2 linked regions of the Rattus norvegicus genome follow. The protein of the gene in region 2 purifies or fractionates together with the protein of the main gene of each other region. This does not show direct contact. Links are inferred from orthologs where the notes say so. Each region holds a gene or a part of one and is shown on either strand. Other genes may lie near its edges.

Evidence for each region. The genes of interacting proteins can lie anywhere in the genome.
Region 1: the proteins of Tap1 (region 2) and Tapbp purify together in Homo sapiens (co-immunoprecipitation; 6 studies listed by BioGRID and IntAct, with this or other methods). This does not show direct contact. The link is inferred for Rattus norvegicus from reciprocal best matches to the Homo sapiens genes TAP1 and TAPBP.

Annotation. Positions count from the first base shown.
Region 1 is NC_086038.1:4,963,740-4,971,750, reverse strand, and holds the start of Tapbp (tapasin precursor), read left to right. Parts: upstream 1-3,896; coding exon 3,897-3,933; intron 3,934-4,071; coding exon 4,072-4,245; intron 4,246-4,443; coding exon 4,444-4,704; intron 4,705-8,011. Other genes in the region: Zbtb22 (zinc finger and BTB domain-containing protein 22), read left to right, coding at 1,118-3,028. UniProt on the Homo sapiens protein: Involved in the association of MHC class I with transporter associated with antigen processing (TAP) and in the assembly of MHC class I with peptide (peptide loading).
Region 2 is NC_086038.1:4,655,869-4,663,362, reverse strand, and holds the end of Tap1 (antigen peptide transporter 1 precursor), read left to right. Parts: intron 1-140; coding exon 141-329; intron 330-1,031; coding exon 1,032-1,205; intron 1,206-1,457; coding exon 1,458-1,620; intron 1,621-2,696; coding exon 2,697-2,833; intron 2,834-4,545; coding exon 4,546-4,752; 3' UTR 4,753-5,192; downstream 5,193-7,494. Other genes in the region: Psmb8 (proteasome subunit beta type-8), read left to right, coding at 6,382-6,528, 7,204-7,351, 7,480-7,494. UniProt on the Homo sapiens protein: ABC transporter associated with antigen processing. In complex with TAP2 mediates unidirectional translocation of peptide antigens from cytosol to endoplasmic reticulum (ER) for loading onto MHC class I (MHCI) molecules.

The DNA.
Region 1 (8,011 bases), about 310 kb from region 2:
ACCAATCCTGGCCCGGAGGAAGAGGGCGGGGCTTCAGGGGTTCTGTCATACGCTGGGAAAAGGGCTGTTAGATCCCGCGAGCGAGCTAATGTCCAGGGCTCGGGGTGGAGCCTGAGGAGCGGAAGCCAGTACTGGTCAATGGGAAAAGGTAGGCTTGCAGGATTAAAGGGGAGCGAAGGCTTCGGCCAAATCAATTCCTGAGTCCTTAGCCGCAGATGGGACCCGGTACCTTTAAGGAGGAATGAAGAGCCGGTCCTTTAAAGGGAAAGTGTTGGTGTCGGTCGAATTTTCCCCAGCGGCACAGGAGGGGTGCTGTCCTGCGCCTTTAAGGTCGCTGGTCGGGGAGGAGGAGTGGAGGCGGAGGGCGGAGGGAGTCGGCACAAGATGGCGGCGGGAGGGGCTGGGGCTGCGGCTCTGGTCGCCGAGTGAGGGGGGGCCCGGGGGCGCGCGGCCAGGTAAGCGGGGGCGCGCGGGGCTGGGGGCCCCCTCAGGCCGGGGGACAGTCCAAGGACGCGATTGGGGAGGAGTGGGGGGCGGGGTTCGGGGGGCGGGGGCAAACACGAGGCGGGGTCGGGGATCTAGGGGGCGGAGCCCTGGAGGGTCCTGAAGGGGCGGAGTCGGGGAATTAACTGGGGGCTGTCGGGGGAGGAGCTTGAAAACTGTGGAGGACACCCCTTCGCCCCAAGAAAATTGGTACGTAACACCAAGGAGAGGCGGTTTTTTTTTTTTTTTTTTTTTTAAGTGAGGCTCGGGGGCAGCTGTAGACAAGGATAGACACCCATTCCCTGAGAGCCCCCTATTTTCTGACCTAGGAAAGAGTACTAAACTTGGAGTTGGAATACTTTCTCTGCTAGCGCTGAGGTTTGATTTGATGTCGTTTGGTAGGTGTACTTGGATGTTTTTCTTGATTAATTCTGGGCCTCAGTTGCCCCATCTGTCCCATGGGGTTGAGAGGTGTACCTATTTATCTCAGTGATTTTTCTTTTTTTTTATACTGTGATGGTCTATGTCTTTTCAAAATGCTGTATTATTCTCTTTTTTTTCCCCCTAGAGACCCCCCCGGCCGCCCTCTTCTTTCCTTTGTTCCTGTGGCTGGGGGGGTATCTCCTTCCACAACATGGAGCCATCTCCTATGTCACCCAGTGGGGCCACACTCCCACTGCCTCTGTCACTGGCTCCACCACCACTGCCTCTGCCGGCAGCTGCAGTGGTACACGTGTCCTTCCCTGAGGTGACCAGTGCCCTCCTGGAGTCCCTCAACCAGCAGCGGCTCCAGGGTCAGCTCTGCGATGTGTCTATCCGCGTGCAGGGACGGGAGTTCCGTGCTCACAGGGCCGTCTTGGCTGCCTCCTCTCCTTACTTCCACGACCAGGTCCTACTCAAAGGCATGACTTCCATCTCACTGCCCAGCGTCATGGACCCAGGCGCTTTTGAGACTGTCCTGGCCTCAGCGTACACGGGCCGCCTCAGCATGGCTGCTGCGGACATTGTCAACTTCCTCACAGTGGGGTCGGTCCTCCAGATGTGGCACATTGTGGATAAGTGCACTGAACTCCTTCGGGAGGGTCGATCTTCAGCCGCTACTACCACTGTCACTGCTGTTGCAGCCCCCTCTGTCTCTGTCCCTTGTGCCAGTGTCCCATCAGGGAGCGGGGGCACCGTTGCCCCTGCCACTGTAGGCTCTGTACGTTCCCATACCTCCAGCCGGGCCAGTGAGAATCAGTCTCCCAGCAGTAGCAACTACTTCAGCCCCCGGGAGTCGACTGATTTCTCCTCTTCCTCCCAAGATGCATTTGTGGCCTCAGCAGTGGGTAGTGGGAACCGTCGAGATGGTGGCCCCGTGTTCCCAGTCCCTGTGGTTGGCAGTGCGGGTACCACCTCTGGGAAGTTGCTGCTAGAGGCCGATGAGCTATGTGATGACGGTGGGGATGGGAGAGGGGCGGCGGCCCCTGGGGCTGGGCTCCGGAGGCCCAACTGCCTGCCTGCCAGTGCAGTGCCACAGAAACACTGGGTGTATGTGAAGCGAGCTAGAAATTGCCCTGCACCAGCATCGCTGGTCCACCAAGACCCCGATCTAGAGGATGAGGAAGAGGAGGAAGATCTGGTGTTGACTTGTGAGGATGACGAGGATGAAGACCTGGGGAATGGCTCTGGGGTTCCTGCAGGGGGAGAGCCCGAGGCTACCCTCAGTATCAGTGACGTTCGGACCTTGACGGAGCCTGCAGAAAAGGGGGAGGAACAGGTGAACTTCTGTGAATCCTCCAATGACTTTGGCCCCTATGAGGGTGGTGGCGCTGGGGCAGGACTTGATGACCCTGGAGGCCCCACCCCTTCCTCCTATGGCCTCACCCACCCTCCACGACCCCTTCTTCCATTGGATGTGCCAGGCAACCAGATCTTGGTTTTCCCATCCTCCTCCTCGCAGGCTCCAGGCCAGCCACCAGGGAACACAGCAGAACACGGGGCAGTGACCCTAGGGGGTGCCTCTGCGGTGGGTCTGGGCATACCAAGTGGCTCTGGGGGGACCCCCGGAGGGGCAGGCAACAGCGACGGGAATAAGATCTTTCTTTGCCACTGTGGGAAGGCTTTCTCACATAAGAGTATGCGGGACCGGCACGTGAATATGCATCTCAACCTGCGACCCTTTGACTGCCCCGTGTGCAACAAGAAGTTCAAGATGAAACACCACCTGACCGAGCACATGAAGACGCACACAGGCCTCAAGCCCTACGAATGCAGTGTCTGCGCCAAGAAGTTCATGTGGCGGGACAGTTTCATGCGTCACCGGGGTCACTGTGAGCGCCGGCACCGGATGGGCGCGGGCGGGGCCGCATCGGTACCTGGACCTGGACCGGGGGCACCCACAGGGCCAGCACTGCAACCCAAGAGGGAGTCCTCCGCAGTGGGTGGGGGCAGTGGCGATGAGGCGAATTCGGCCACACCCCCGTCTAATAGGCGTGTCTGGTCACCACCCAGCGTGCACAAAGTCGAGATGGATTTCAGTGGGGGTGGAGGAGCAGCACACTGAAGGACAGGCTATCGGGGAGCTTAGTCTAAGGGCAACGTGGCTCCCGGGGTTTTCCCCACCAAACCGTCTTCCCTTATCTCTGTGGACTTGTATATATTCTAGAGAAGGGCATAGGCTGCACCATCGATAGCCCGTTCCATTCCTTAGCCCCTTCCTCGATATCTCCGGAACTAAGCAGTTTTTCTTCTCCCTTGAGCACACCAGAGCCCCACCTTCACGGAGTAGTGCCAAGACGGTGGGGGGATGGAAAAGGGACATTTTGAGCATCCTGGAGTCGCAGGGCCAACAGTCAGGTTGTGCTAATTTGTGCCTGAAGTCTGTGTTTGTGTTGTGGGACGAGGCCTTTGAGACTCCTCTTGAAGGATGCGCCCCTTATTCCTGTACTATCCCACCCTTGCCATGAGGATCCCAAATTGGGTTGTCATGAAAGTGGGCGGAGACAAGGGGTGAGCCGCGTAGTATAGGTCTTAATTTTTAACGGTGATTAAAATATTTATTGGTCACTTCACTTGGTTTCCCAACACCCCTCTGTTTGCTGGGAGCTGACACAGGTCGGGGGACGCAGGAGTATGGTTCTAAGGGAGGTGGCGCTAAGAGGGCGCAGCCCGAGGGCGGAGCCTAAGCTGCTAAAGGCTCAAAGTTGGCGCGCTGTCGGGTGATCCACGCGTGTGGGTGCAGGGCGAGGAGGGGCCGGAGAGCCCGAGACAGGGTTTCGGGATCTCTGTTTGGCCCTTGCGGGCTGCGTTCCTCCAGCGCGCAGTCACGCCCTCACCTGACCAGCGCAGGGAATTTCCAGTTCCTCACCCCCCGCCTTTGAGGGAAAATGAAAGTGAAAGGAAACAGACTTGGTAGGGGAGATCGCAGCACCATGAAGCTTCTTCCCCTGCTCGTCGTTGTGGCACTGGGTGAGCGGACCCCATTCCTTCTCGTTTAGGAAAGGACACATTGGGAAGGAGAGGGAGGTGATCCCATCGCGGGTCTGAAGGGCGGGCCGGTCCCGGACACCTTGTGGCAGCCTGGTCACCGGAGCCCCTCTTCCCCAGGCCTGGCGACCGTGGTGGTCTCGGCTGGACCACAGACGATTGAGTGCTGGTTCGTGGAGGATGCAGGTGGGGGTGGCCTGTCCAAGAAACCTGCCACATTGCTACTGCGCCATGGACCCAGGGGACCGCCGCCCCGGCCAGATCTTGACCCTAAGCTATACTTCAAGGTGGATGGTGAGTCTTCGGGACTCAGCTGCGTCTGTCGCCTCCTCTTAGCTCACGTAGGGTCCCCGGGCCTCAGTTTTCCCCTTTGTAAATAAGTTTGGATACTCTCTAAGTCGCTCACTACTTTGCTAGTTTGTGCCTTCCGGCCTGTGTACAGTCAGCACGTTTCCAGCCGGGCCTACCGCTACATCCTTCTCGGTTCCGCAGACCCGGCGGGAATGCTCCTGGCTGCCTTCAGGCGGTACCCCGCAGGCGCCCACGCCCCACACTGCGAGATGAGCAGCTACATCCCGTTCCCCGCCTCGGCGAAGTGGGCTAGGGGTCTGAGTCCGCAGCAGAACTGCTCGCGGGCCCTGGACGGGGATTGGCTGATGGTCAGCGTATCCGGCACGGTCTTCAGCCTCTCCAGCCTGCTGCGACCACTGCCGGAGCCTCAGCGGGAGCCTGTCTTCATCACCATGGCAACAGGTAGCCCTGAAGAGAAGCGGGAGATGGATGGGTAGCTTTTAAGGGTCTAGATTGGCCAGTTCGGCGACTCGCCAAGAGTTGGAGGATCAGTATATTTTTTCTGTTAAGGGTTAGACAATCTTCACCTTTCATTGTAGGGGGAGAGTAAAATTGAAACCTGCTGTGGTTTGGGGGCGGGGCTTTGCAGAGGGACTGGGGAGGCGGTCAGGGTGTCGGTTTCCAGAAACCAGAGTTTGAGAAACTCATAAGGTTAGGAGTCCCGACACCCGAGTTCTTTTCTGCACTCGTCCCAGGTTTCAAAAATCACACTTTGAGTCTCTTCAAAGCTCACTCTAGCCTAAGGACAGCCTGTCCAGCAAGGAACCTCTTCCTGAGTCTCTCGGCCATGGTCTTGAGTGCCTCAACGGTGGCCTCTAGTGGGCAGAAGGGACACGGCCGAAGCGGTGGATTCTCCTGCAAAGGCCACTGTCTCACTCACTAAATAGAGTGCGGTGCAGCAGAGTTCCCAGAGGTCCACCACTTTGCTGTGCTGGACAGGGGAAGAGGGCACTCCATGGGCAGATGTGCAGAAATGGGGTAGATCTGTCTTGAACGCCTCTGAGCGTCTGCTCTTCTCCTCGGGCACCACCTAACAGGAAGACAGAACCATCTGCCTTTTCCATTTCTGGTGTTTTTATGCAAATACTCTCACCGAACTCCCTGAGTCCTTTGTCTTCATCATTTGAAACTCCTAAGGGGGGCAGTCTGAAACCCTCAGCTCTGCCAGCACCTCCTCTCTCAGCTCCACCCTATTCAGGCCCGTTGTGGGGACAGTAGTTCTCTCAAGAGAACCGGCCCTCACATCGTTGGTCTTAATGGGGGATGGCGGTGGCGACCACAGCCTTTGTCCTATGGGTCTGTTTCTTCCCAACTGTAGAAAGTAGGTTCTTCCCAGTTACTTTTCTTTGTAGCAGTGAAGCAAGGCGCTGTGCTGCTCACTGATCCAATAAATGTTATTAGCACCAAGAGACAGTTAGGACCCCGAGGTTCCCAGATCAAGCTCCAGATAATTAGCAAAGAACATACTGAAAGCTTGGGTGTGTGAATCGCAGCGTGCAGGGTGGCCCTGTGTGCTCAGTGACGGGTGATCGGTGAGAGGCTCAGCGTGTTTCTCACATCTGTTGTAGACAGTCCAGTCCCATGTGACTTCTGCAGGGCAGGAGTGTGTGGCTCAGTGACTGTCAGTTATTTCCAAGTTGGTTTTACTTGTGTGTGTGTCTAGGTATGGGTCTGTGCATGTGAGTGCAGCTGCCTAGGGAATCTAGGAGCAGCCGTTGGACCCTCCAGAGCTGGGCTACAGGTGGCTGTGAGCCATGTGGCCTGGGTGCTGGGAACCCAACTTGGATCCCCGGAAGTGCAGGATTGGTTTAAAGTCACCCTCTAGGCCCTTGTCTGGGCTCCTAGAGTGCTCTGGGCCAGGACTGACCGATCATTTCTCATGGACTCTGGGGTGAAATCAAGTCACTGTATCCCCTCTTCCTCATCACATCAGGTCATACCTGCTTGACTAGAAACCCATGAAAACGGGGTTGGGTAGATGGGTCATCAGTTAAGAGGACTGGCTGACCTTTCGCAGGGCAGGTCACGGCTGTAACTCTGTGTGCTATAGAGCAGTTGGCACGCTCACACAGACATACATACAGGCGGACACCAGTGCACGTACAAATCTTATATAAAAAGAACCGTGACATGGCTTTATTCGTTGCTATCAGGCCCCTCCCCTCATCCCCAGGGGACTGAACCAGCATCAGGGAAGCTCTCTGTCACCTTCCAGAAGCTGCTGCAGCAGGCCTAGGCCGCCTCTCCTGAATGATTGTTTTCACAGAACACTAGGGTAGGAAATCACCCTGGTTTGGGTTCAGGGCCAGGCCTTGCTCGTGCTGGACACACAACTGGCCGTGGAGCTGCCCAGCCAGGGTCGAGTCTCTCTTTCTCAGTATTGAGTGCACACAGCACTTCGTTCCAACCACTCTTCTAGAAATGTTACAGGCAGGCTGTACTAGGAATCTACATGCATATACAAATGACAGTAAAAAAGAGGTCAGGAATTGAAGAGGGGAAAGAGGGAGGAAAGGGAGAGATGTTGTCCTCTGAGGTGACTGAGTAAAGGCCCTCACCAACAGGGTGAGGAAATGAGCTTCATGCAGGGTCCACACAGAGAGAACTGACTCCCGGAAGTCCTCTGACCGCCACATGCACACCATGCAGGAACACACACACACATAAGTGAAAATGTAAAAGACAGTATGGAAAACTTTAACTGTGGCTGGAGAGGGCTCTCATTTGTAAACTTCTTTTTTTTTTTTTTTTTCTTTTTCTTTTTTTCGGAGCTGGAGGTTTGTAAACTTCTTGTGCTCCGTGTACTGACTGGCCTCCTATAGGGGGTTTTATTATCGAAAGTCAGGAATGAGACAGATTTGGTTAGCCAGAGGTATTAAATGGCAAATGGCATGACCATCACCACCTCAGTAGCTCAGCAGATTGGTGTAGCTGGTCTTTGTTACTGTGTGGGTTGTTCTTTTCCCGCCCTTTCTCTGCTGGGGTTACTCCCTATGACTACATAGGAGAGAAGGAGAGATAGAAGAGAGAGATCCCTGAGTCTAATTTCTTTTTGTTGCTTCTTTGAGCACGACTAACAAACTGCAGGCAACCCCCCCCCCGAATGGCCAATCTGCCCCTCCTCTTGTGGGGGGTGTCCTAGCATTTATGTACCCTCTGAAAAGCTCCCAGAATTCCAAGTATCACACAATCAGACGCCTTTGCTAGAGCACGAGGCAAATCAGTCAGCTGCCATGGACAGTCTGAAGCAGCCCTATCCCAGACCTGGGATTAAAATGAAAGCTTATCATGCCTCATGCTGTGGGATCTTGGTGGTGGTGGTGTTGTTTAAGAGACTGAAATCCCAGAATTCCCACCAGGTAGGTCCTATTCTTACTTTGACTGGCCGTTACTCATTTTTGTTTGTTTTTGAGACTGGGTCTTAGGCAAGCTTGTCTGGAACTCATGGTAGTCCTCCCACCACGGTCTCCCATGTGCCGGGGTTACCAGTGTGCAGTCCTCCTGCCAGTTTCCCATGTGCTGGGGTTATCAGTATGTGCAGTCCTCCCTCCATGGTCTCCCATGTGCCGGGGTTATCTGTGTGAGCCACTAAGTGCGGCTTCCGTTTCTCCTTTGGAGATTGGGGGAGGGAGCTGAGGCGTAGCTCAGTGGTAGGCCCATTGCCTGCTGTGTGTGACAGTCAGCACTGGATGCTCAGGCCTGTAATCCT
Region 2 (7,494 bases):
TCCCTGCCTGCCCTTGTGTTGCAGCTTCTTGGGCTTTGCTCACCCACTGCCTGTTCACTGAATGCTGTCGAGCTGGTTAGACGGCACACCTGCTTTCATGGTCCATGCCAGGCTCACCCACACTCCACTCTGCGATGCAGGTCCTGCTCTCCATCTATCCCTCCATGCAGAAGTCCGTGGGCGCCTCGGAGAAAATATTCGAATACCTGGACCGGACTCCCTGCTCTCCGCTCAGTGGCTCACTGGCACCTTTAAACATGAAAGGCCTCGTCAAGTTCCAAGATGTCTCCTTTGCCTACCCAAACCATCCCAACGTCCAGGTGCTTCAGGTACTGTCCACCCATCCCTTTCACCTCTTCCGGCTTCTTGCCAGTGACCCAGGCCCTCCCTAACCTCAAAGGTGACAATGAGAACCATGTGTCTATAAATCACCCCACCCAAAGAACTAGCTTGGTCTTCTAATAACACTATGGGGCGAGGGGGGGAAGAGGCCTCGAGGAGAAGGCTTCTGGGGCTCAGGATGGCTTAGTAGCCAAGAGCATGCAGTGCTTTTGCAGAGGACCCTGGTTCCCAGGCACTCACAACCACCTACTCCTGTTCCAGGGGACCCTACGCCCTCTTTTGACTTCTAGGGGTACAAGGCATGAACGTGGCATGCGTGTCTACATGCTGGCCAAACACTCGTACACGTAAAAATGAATAAATCTAATTTTTTTTAAAAGATAAAGCTCTTTTAACGAAGGAGTTAGCAACACGTGTTCCACCTGCCAATTGTGCAGGAGACTAGATTTGCGCTTCTGGGAGGGAATGCTCTCCCTCCACCCTCCGCTGCTACGCCCAGGGATGCTTCTTGCCCATTCCTATGCCCCAGCCCCTCTCTCTTCTCCCTCCCCGATGTCGTTTCAGAAGTCCGTGCATAGAGGGGTAGGGATTGCTGTGCGTTCTTTGGTCCTCGTGGGTAAGATGCTGTGTTGCACACTGAGTGACAAAGGCCTCCAAATGTTTCTACCGTGTGCTTCTCTGGCCTCCAGGGGCTGACTTTTACGCTGTATCCCGGGAAGGTGACTGCCTTGGTGGGACCCAATGGGTCAGGGAAGAGCACCGTGGCCGCCCTGCTGCAGAACCTGTACCAGCCCACCGGGGGCAAGGTGCTCCTGGATGGCGAGCTCCTGGTCCAGTATGATCACCACTACCTGCACACGCAGGTGAGCAAGAAGGTGTGGGGGAGGGGAGGAGAGCAAGCCAAGAGAAAATTGTCTGAGAAAACCCTTTCAGAGAGTCAGGGTCAGCGAGTCAGGGCCAGCAGAGTCAGGGCCAGCAGAGTCGGGGCCAGCAGAGTCGGGGCTGTGTGTAGAAGGACACGTGACCGTATGGTGTGCACCCGGTTGTGACTCTTCAGTTCCCAGCCAACGACACTTCTGTGTTTCTTGCCTGTTCCTCTTCACATTTCACCTCAGGTGGCCGCAGTGGGACAAGAGCCACTGCTATTTGGAAGAAGTTTTCGGGAAAATATTGCCTATGGCCTGACGCGGACTCCAACCATGGAGGAAATCACAGCTGTGGCCATGGAGTCCGGAGCCCACGATTTCATCTCTGGATTCCCTCAGGGCTATGACACAGGTATCTGCCTTCTCACATCCGGACTGCAACCACCCCTGCCTTTATTATTCAATCCCTCCTGACCCTTGGATACCGATTTGTAGTTGAAACTCTTGTTTCTAAGATTCACAGGACTCCATTCCCTTGCAGAGGGCCTCCCTTTCCAGCTGCCCCGTCAGCTGCGTGTACGTGTGTGTGTGTGTGTGTGTGTGTGTGTGTGTATGAGTGTGTATGTGTCTGTGTGTGTATGTGTGTGACTGTGTGTGTATGTCTCTGTGTGTGTATATGTGTGTGTGTCTGTGTGTGTCAGTGTGTATATGTGTGTGTATGTCTGTGTGTGAGTGAGTGTGTATGTGTGTCTGTGTACATGAGTGTATATCATACCCTGAGGGAATGTATGTGATATATGTGTGTATATGAGTGTGTATGTGTGTGTGTATATGTGTCTGTGTATATATGTGGATATGTGTGTGTGAATGTGTATGTGTGTGTTTATGTCTGTGTATCTGTGTATGTGAGTGTGTCTCATACCCTTAGGGAATTTATGTGTGTGTATGTGTGTATATATATGTGTGTGTATGTGAGTGTATATGTGTGTATGTATGTGAGTGTGTCTGTGTGTTTGTGTATGTATGTGTGTGTGTGCATGTGAGTGTGTATGTATGTATATGTATGTATGTGAGTGTGAATGTGTGTATGTATGTGAGTGTGTCTGTGTGTCTGTGTATGTGTGTGTGTGTCTGTGTATGTGAGTGTGTCTGTGTGTGTCTGTGTATGTATGTGTGTCTGTGTATGTGAGTGTGTATGCATGTGTGTATGTGAGTGTGTCTGTGTATGTGAGTGTGTCTGGGTGTATGTGAGTGTGTATGTATGTGTGTATGTGAGTGTGTATGTATGTGTGTATGTGAGTGTGTATGTATGTGTGTATGTGAGTGTCTGTGTATATGAGTGTGTCTGTGTACAGAAGTGTGTCTGTGTGTCTGTGTATGTGAGTGTGTCTGTGTATGTGAGTATGTCTGTGTGTCTGTGTACAGAAGTGTGTCTGTGCATGTGTGTACACACCTGTCGACTTCTCAGCTGGACTCTTGTCTCTGCAGAGGTAGGTGAAACTGGGAACCAGCTGTCAGGAGGTCAGCGACAGGCGGTGGCCTTGGCTCGAGCCTTGATCCGGAAGCCACGCCTGCTTATCTTGGACGATGCCACCAGTGCCCTGGATGCTGGCAACCAGCTACGGGTGAGGCCCTGGTTCTTATCTTCTGTCTTTTTTAGCCATCTTGCTGTGTGGTCTCGGCTGGCCTGGACCTCACTTTGGAGACCATGCTGTCCTCGGATTCTTGGTAATCTTTCCCCTGCTGCCTCTGGAGGGTGTGGTCACCCTGCTGTGTCATCTTCCTGAAGTCTCATTCGCATGGGAGCTTTGCTTCTGTTATTCATCCTGTGTTAGTTACACCAACAACATAACTATTCAAACCTGTCCTGGGAATTCTCAGTTCCCATTGGCTTTTCCCCAGGACACCAGGAACCAGTGAACGGAGCTCCTGACCTAAGAGTCTGTGTGGGCTTAGCCTGCTTTGTGTTTCAGGCGTTCTATCCCACCCTGCACTACTTTGCCTATCAGAGTCCTTTGTTGCGCTTGTTCTGTAGATGATAAGAGAGGTTGATTAACCTTCCAAAAGTCACACAGCAATCGAGCAATGGAGCCTGGGTCCAGATACAAGTCATCCAAATTCTCGTGTTCTTTGTTACTGTTACATTTCTTTAAAAAATAAGATTTATTTTATGTGTTTGAGTGTCTTGCTTGTATGTATGTATGTATGTATGTATGTATGTATGTATGTATGTATGTATGTATGTACCTAGTGTCTTTGAAAGTCAGAAGAAGGTATGGATCCCCTGGAACTAGACTTATGGATGGTTGTGAACCACCATGTGGATGTTGAAACTCAAACCCTGGACCTCTGGAAGAGCAGCCAGTGCTCTTAACTGCTGAGCCCCTGCCCCTGCATTACATTTCTCTAAATTGGATATAAAATTTCCCAGCTTAGAGGCTGGAGAGATGGCTCAGCAGTTAAGAGCACTGGCTGTTCTTCCACAGGACCTGGGTTCAATTCCCAGCACCCACATGGCAGCTCACAACCGTCTGCAACTCCAGTTCCAGGGTTTCTGACACCCTCACACAGGCAAAATGCCAATGAACCTAAAACAAAAATAAATTATAAACAATCTTCTCAGTTTATTAGTGGGTTATTAGAAATGTGTATGACATAGGAAATGTGACGTGTGGGGTGGGTGTTGAGAGGAGAAGAGGAGGTGGTATGATTATATTTCATTATAGTCATGCATGACATTCTCAAAGCATAAATTAATATATATTCTTGAATGCAAAAAATATTCCCACATCTTAAGGCTGGACGAGGCAACCCTAGTCTTACTGCAACTTAGTGTGTAGTGTTTGGTTGATGTCCTTGGGAGGCTTGCTCCCCCCCACCCCAAGGAAAATGGAGGCGTGGTGGTGGGGTGAGGAGGAGGGACTGGGAGGAGAGGAGGAAGGGGGAAGAGCAGTCGGAATATAATATATGGGAGAAGAATAATTTTCTTTAAGAATTTCCCGGCTTAGGGGTTGGAGATTTAGCTCGGTGGTAGAGCGCTTGGTAGCAAGCGCAAGGCCCTGGGTTCGGTCCCCAGCTCCGAAAAAAAAAAAAAAATTCCCGGCTTACGGATAGAGATGAGAGACTATGCAGTCCCCTCCCCCTCGTGCTCCCGCTCTTCATCTATCTGTACCACCTCTTGAGAAGACGCCTTAAAAAATAATCAAAGGTTTGGAGAGGCGCTCCAGACCCGGGATATCGGCATCCTTGGGAAGTGACAATGTGTCCCAGCCTTGGAAGCACAGGGGGCTCCTGGACGGTAGAGGCCCCGGACTGTAAGGACTGTGTGTTTCTGCAGGTCCAGCGGCTCCTGTATGAGAGCCCCGAGTGGGCCTCTCGGACGGTTCTTCTGATCACCCAGCAGCTCAGCCTGGCAGAGCGGGCCCACCACATCCTCTTCCTCAAAGAAGGCTCTGTCTGCGAGCAGGGCACCCACCTGCAGCTCATGGAGAGAGGAGGGTGTTACCGGTCCATGGTGGAGGCTCTTGCGGCTCCTTCAGACTGACCGGCTTCTGGACTGCACGCTGCGCGAGTCCCTCCCCCTGCTGTCCTCTGCTCTGTGTGGCAGAGAACCTGGGAGCAAAGATTTTACCACATCCACGGAGATAGTTGAGGAGCGATGGTGTTTGTTACATGAGAAAAATGTAACCTCTAGGAGATGCCCGGAATTTACCACCAATGTTTTCCCGCCCCGCCCCCTGTTAGACGGGGGATGGGGGTAGGTACCCCAGGCTAACACTGAGCTGCTGAGTCTCCTGTCTCCCGTGGAGTTTGCATCACGGCATGCACCCACAAACCTGGCTTATGTGGCGTTGGGACAGAATGAGAAGAAACGCCCAAAATGTACAGAGAAGGGGCAAATAGCTTGCAATTAACCAAAGGCATAGGCTGGCCTATGGGTATTCTGCGGGTTCTCGATATTTATAATAAAACTGGTGTTTTGTACCGTGGTTTCTCCTGTTTCTTAGCTCCCACAAACTGCTCGATGAGTTAGCCAGCACCCTTCCCCACACACAGCCCAGTGTCCCGTTCTTCTTCAGAATTCTGTTTTACTGCCGGGTCCATCATCTTCCTGGCGCTCTCATTTCTCTTCCCTACCCACCCACCGACTCCTAGTGCTGAGCAGGACCAGGCGGCAGCCCCTCTGTCCCCGCACTCCAAGGCATCAGCAGCTGCATCTAGGAGCCCCTCTCTTCCTCGCTGAGGCTGGAGGAGGCGCGGCAGCGCAGCGGGGTGGGGGTGGGGGTGGGGGACTCCAGAACTCCAGACTGGATTACCTCGCTGGCTCTGATTTTTCTGAACCTCTCACCTTCTCCTCAGCCGCACACGCCGGAGTAATCTTAATGAAACGGAAAGGATTAGCCAGTAAATCTCTTCCATACAGGGAGGGCCCGGTGGCGTGACGTCAGCAGTTGCTGGGCAGATAAGGTCCGCAAAGGTTGGAAAGAGAGGTGGGGTTTAGGATTCAAGGAAGGAGCGCTCAGCTCTGACTTGCGCGACGTGAACAGCCCAGGGAGAAGGGAGCGTCCACGTGGGTTGCCTCAGGGTAGTGAGACTGTTGGACCGAGAGGGGCCCTAGAAAGGACACATAGAAAGACCCGAACTGTGCCCTCTCCTTGGTTCGTCCTTCCCCATTTTTTTTCCCCTGGTCGTCTCAGGACTTAAAGACCCCGTGCAACTATTTATCGCATTTTCCAGTTTCTATAAAACGATGCTCATTTAAGTGCTGCCCCCATCCCCAGGACGCACGCCTAGGTGAATCTGCTCAATGCTTCTCTTGGGTTCCAACTTTCTAGAGAACCTCTTTAAGGTGACAGGACCCTATCCAGTCCTCAGCTGTTCCCAGAAGATGCCCCTCGCCCCGACTGTGAGTCCTCAAGTACCCCACTGCTAGGTGGCCTCCGAAGGCGCACCTCTTCTTTTATCCCACAGCCCACTCTCTAGCTGGTTTTCATCGACGTGGCATCAGGAAAACTTGTCCCTAACATATTTTTAGTTCAGACACCCGTTAATTGGGCTCTACTCGGAAAGGGCAGGGGTTGGGGGTGGGGGACTGGTTCCCTCCTCTTGGTGCTGTGGCTTTCGCTTTCACTTCCTTGTCCGAGAGTCGACGGATCTCCGGGGCTAAGTCGTCATGGCGTTACTGGATCTGTGCGGCGCTCCTCGGGGGCAGCGGCCCGAGTGGGCTGCCGTGGATGCAGGAAGCGGGCTTCGCTCGGACCCGGGACACTACAGTTTCTCCGTGCAAGCTCCGGAGCTCGCGCTTCCCCGGGGAATGCAGGTGAGGACTGTAGGGGTTCTTGAGAGATGCAGGGGGTGGGTGGTGGTGGTGGCGGCACGTAGGAAGGACTGTCTGCCTGGGTCTGAGGAGGTGAGGAAGCATGGAGGGGCTGTTCAGAAGAGCAGCATCCAGGCCAGCCCTGAAGTTAGTTAACATGGGAAGGCTGGAAGGAGGGAGGATGAGAAAGGGGTGGGGGAGGGAGAGAGGGAGAGAGACACACACATGGAGGAGCCACAGAGAGACTGAGAAGATGGTTGGTGCCCACCCCAAGATACCATGCACAACTCGCCATGCCTTCACAGACCCACGAGTAACGACTACAGGGACTGCACAGTTGTCTTGGAAGACCAATGAACTTGAGAGGCTAACCTGGCCTCAGCAACCCTCCCTATGTATCCTAGGACACGTTAGGTGGCCTAGGCCTCAAGCCCCTCTACCGTAAAACGAGAATACGTTATTAAAATGTGCTTTTCGAGAACCGAAGGAGCCACGGATCAGGAAACACCTTGAAGTCGGCTACCATGGCCTTTGCTCCCGTGTTCCCGAAGGCAGAAAGCTGGCTTAGATCCTGCTTTCCCTTCTTCTGAGACATTGCCCTCTAGGGTCTGCGGACCCCTCCTCACCCCGAAACCCTGCCGGGAGCCTCCTAGAACTGAGGCCTCTTCCCTCTCTCAGCCCACTGAATTCCTAAGGTCCTTTGGTGATGACCAGGAAAGGAAGGTTCAGATTGAAATGGCGCACGGCACAACCACGCTGGCCTTCAAGTTCCAGCATGGAGTCATCGTGGCGGTGGACTCCAGGGCCTCCGCAGGAAGTTACATTGGTGAGTCCCCGGTGCTCCGGTGGCCAGGCCCTCTCAGCAGAGCTTAAGGCCTGCACCTAAGCGGGCATTGAGTTAGAGTGCATCAGGGAGAGCTGGGGCTCATTTCTTGGATCTCAAAACTCTTTCAGCTACCATAAGGGTGA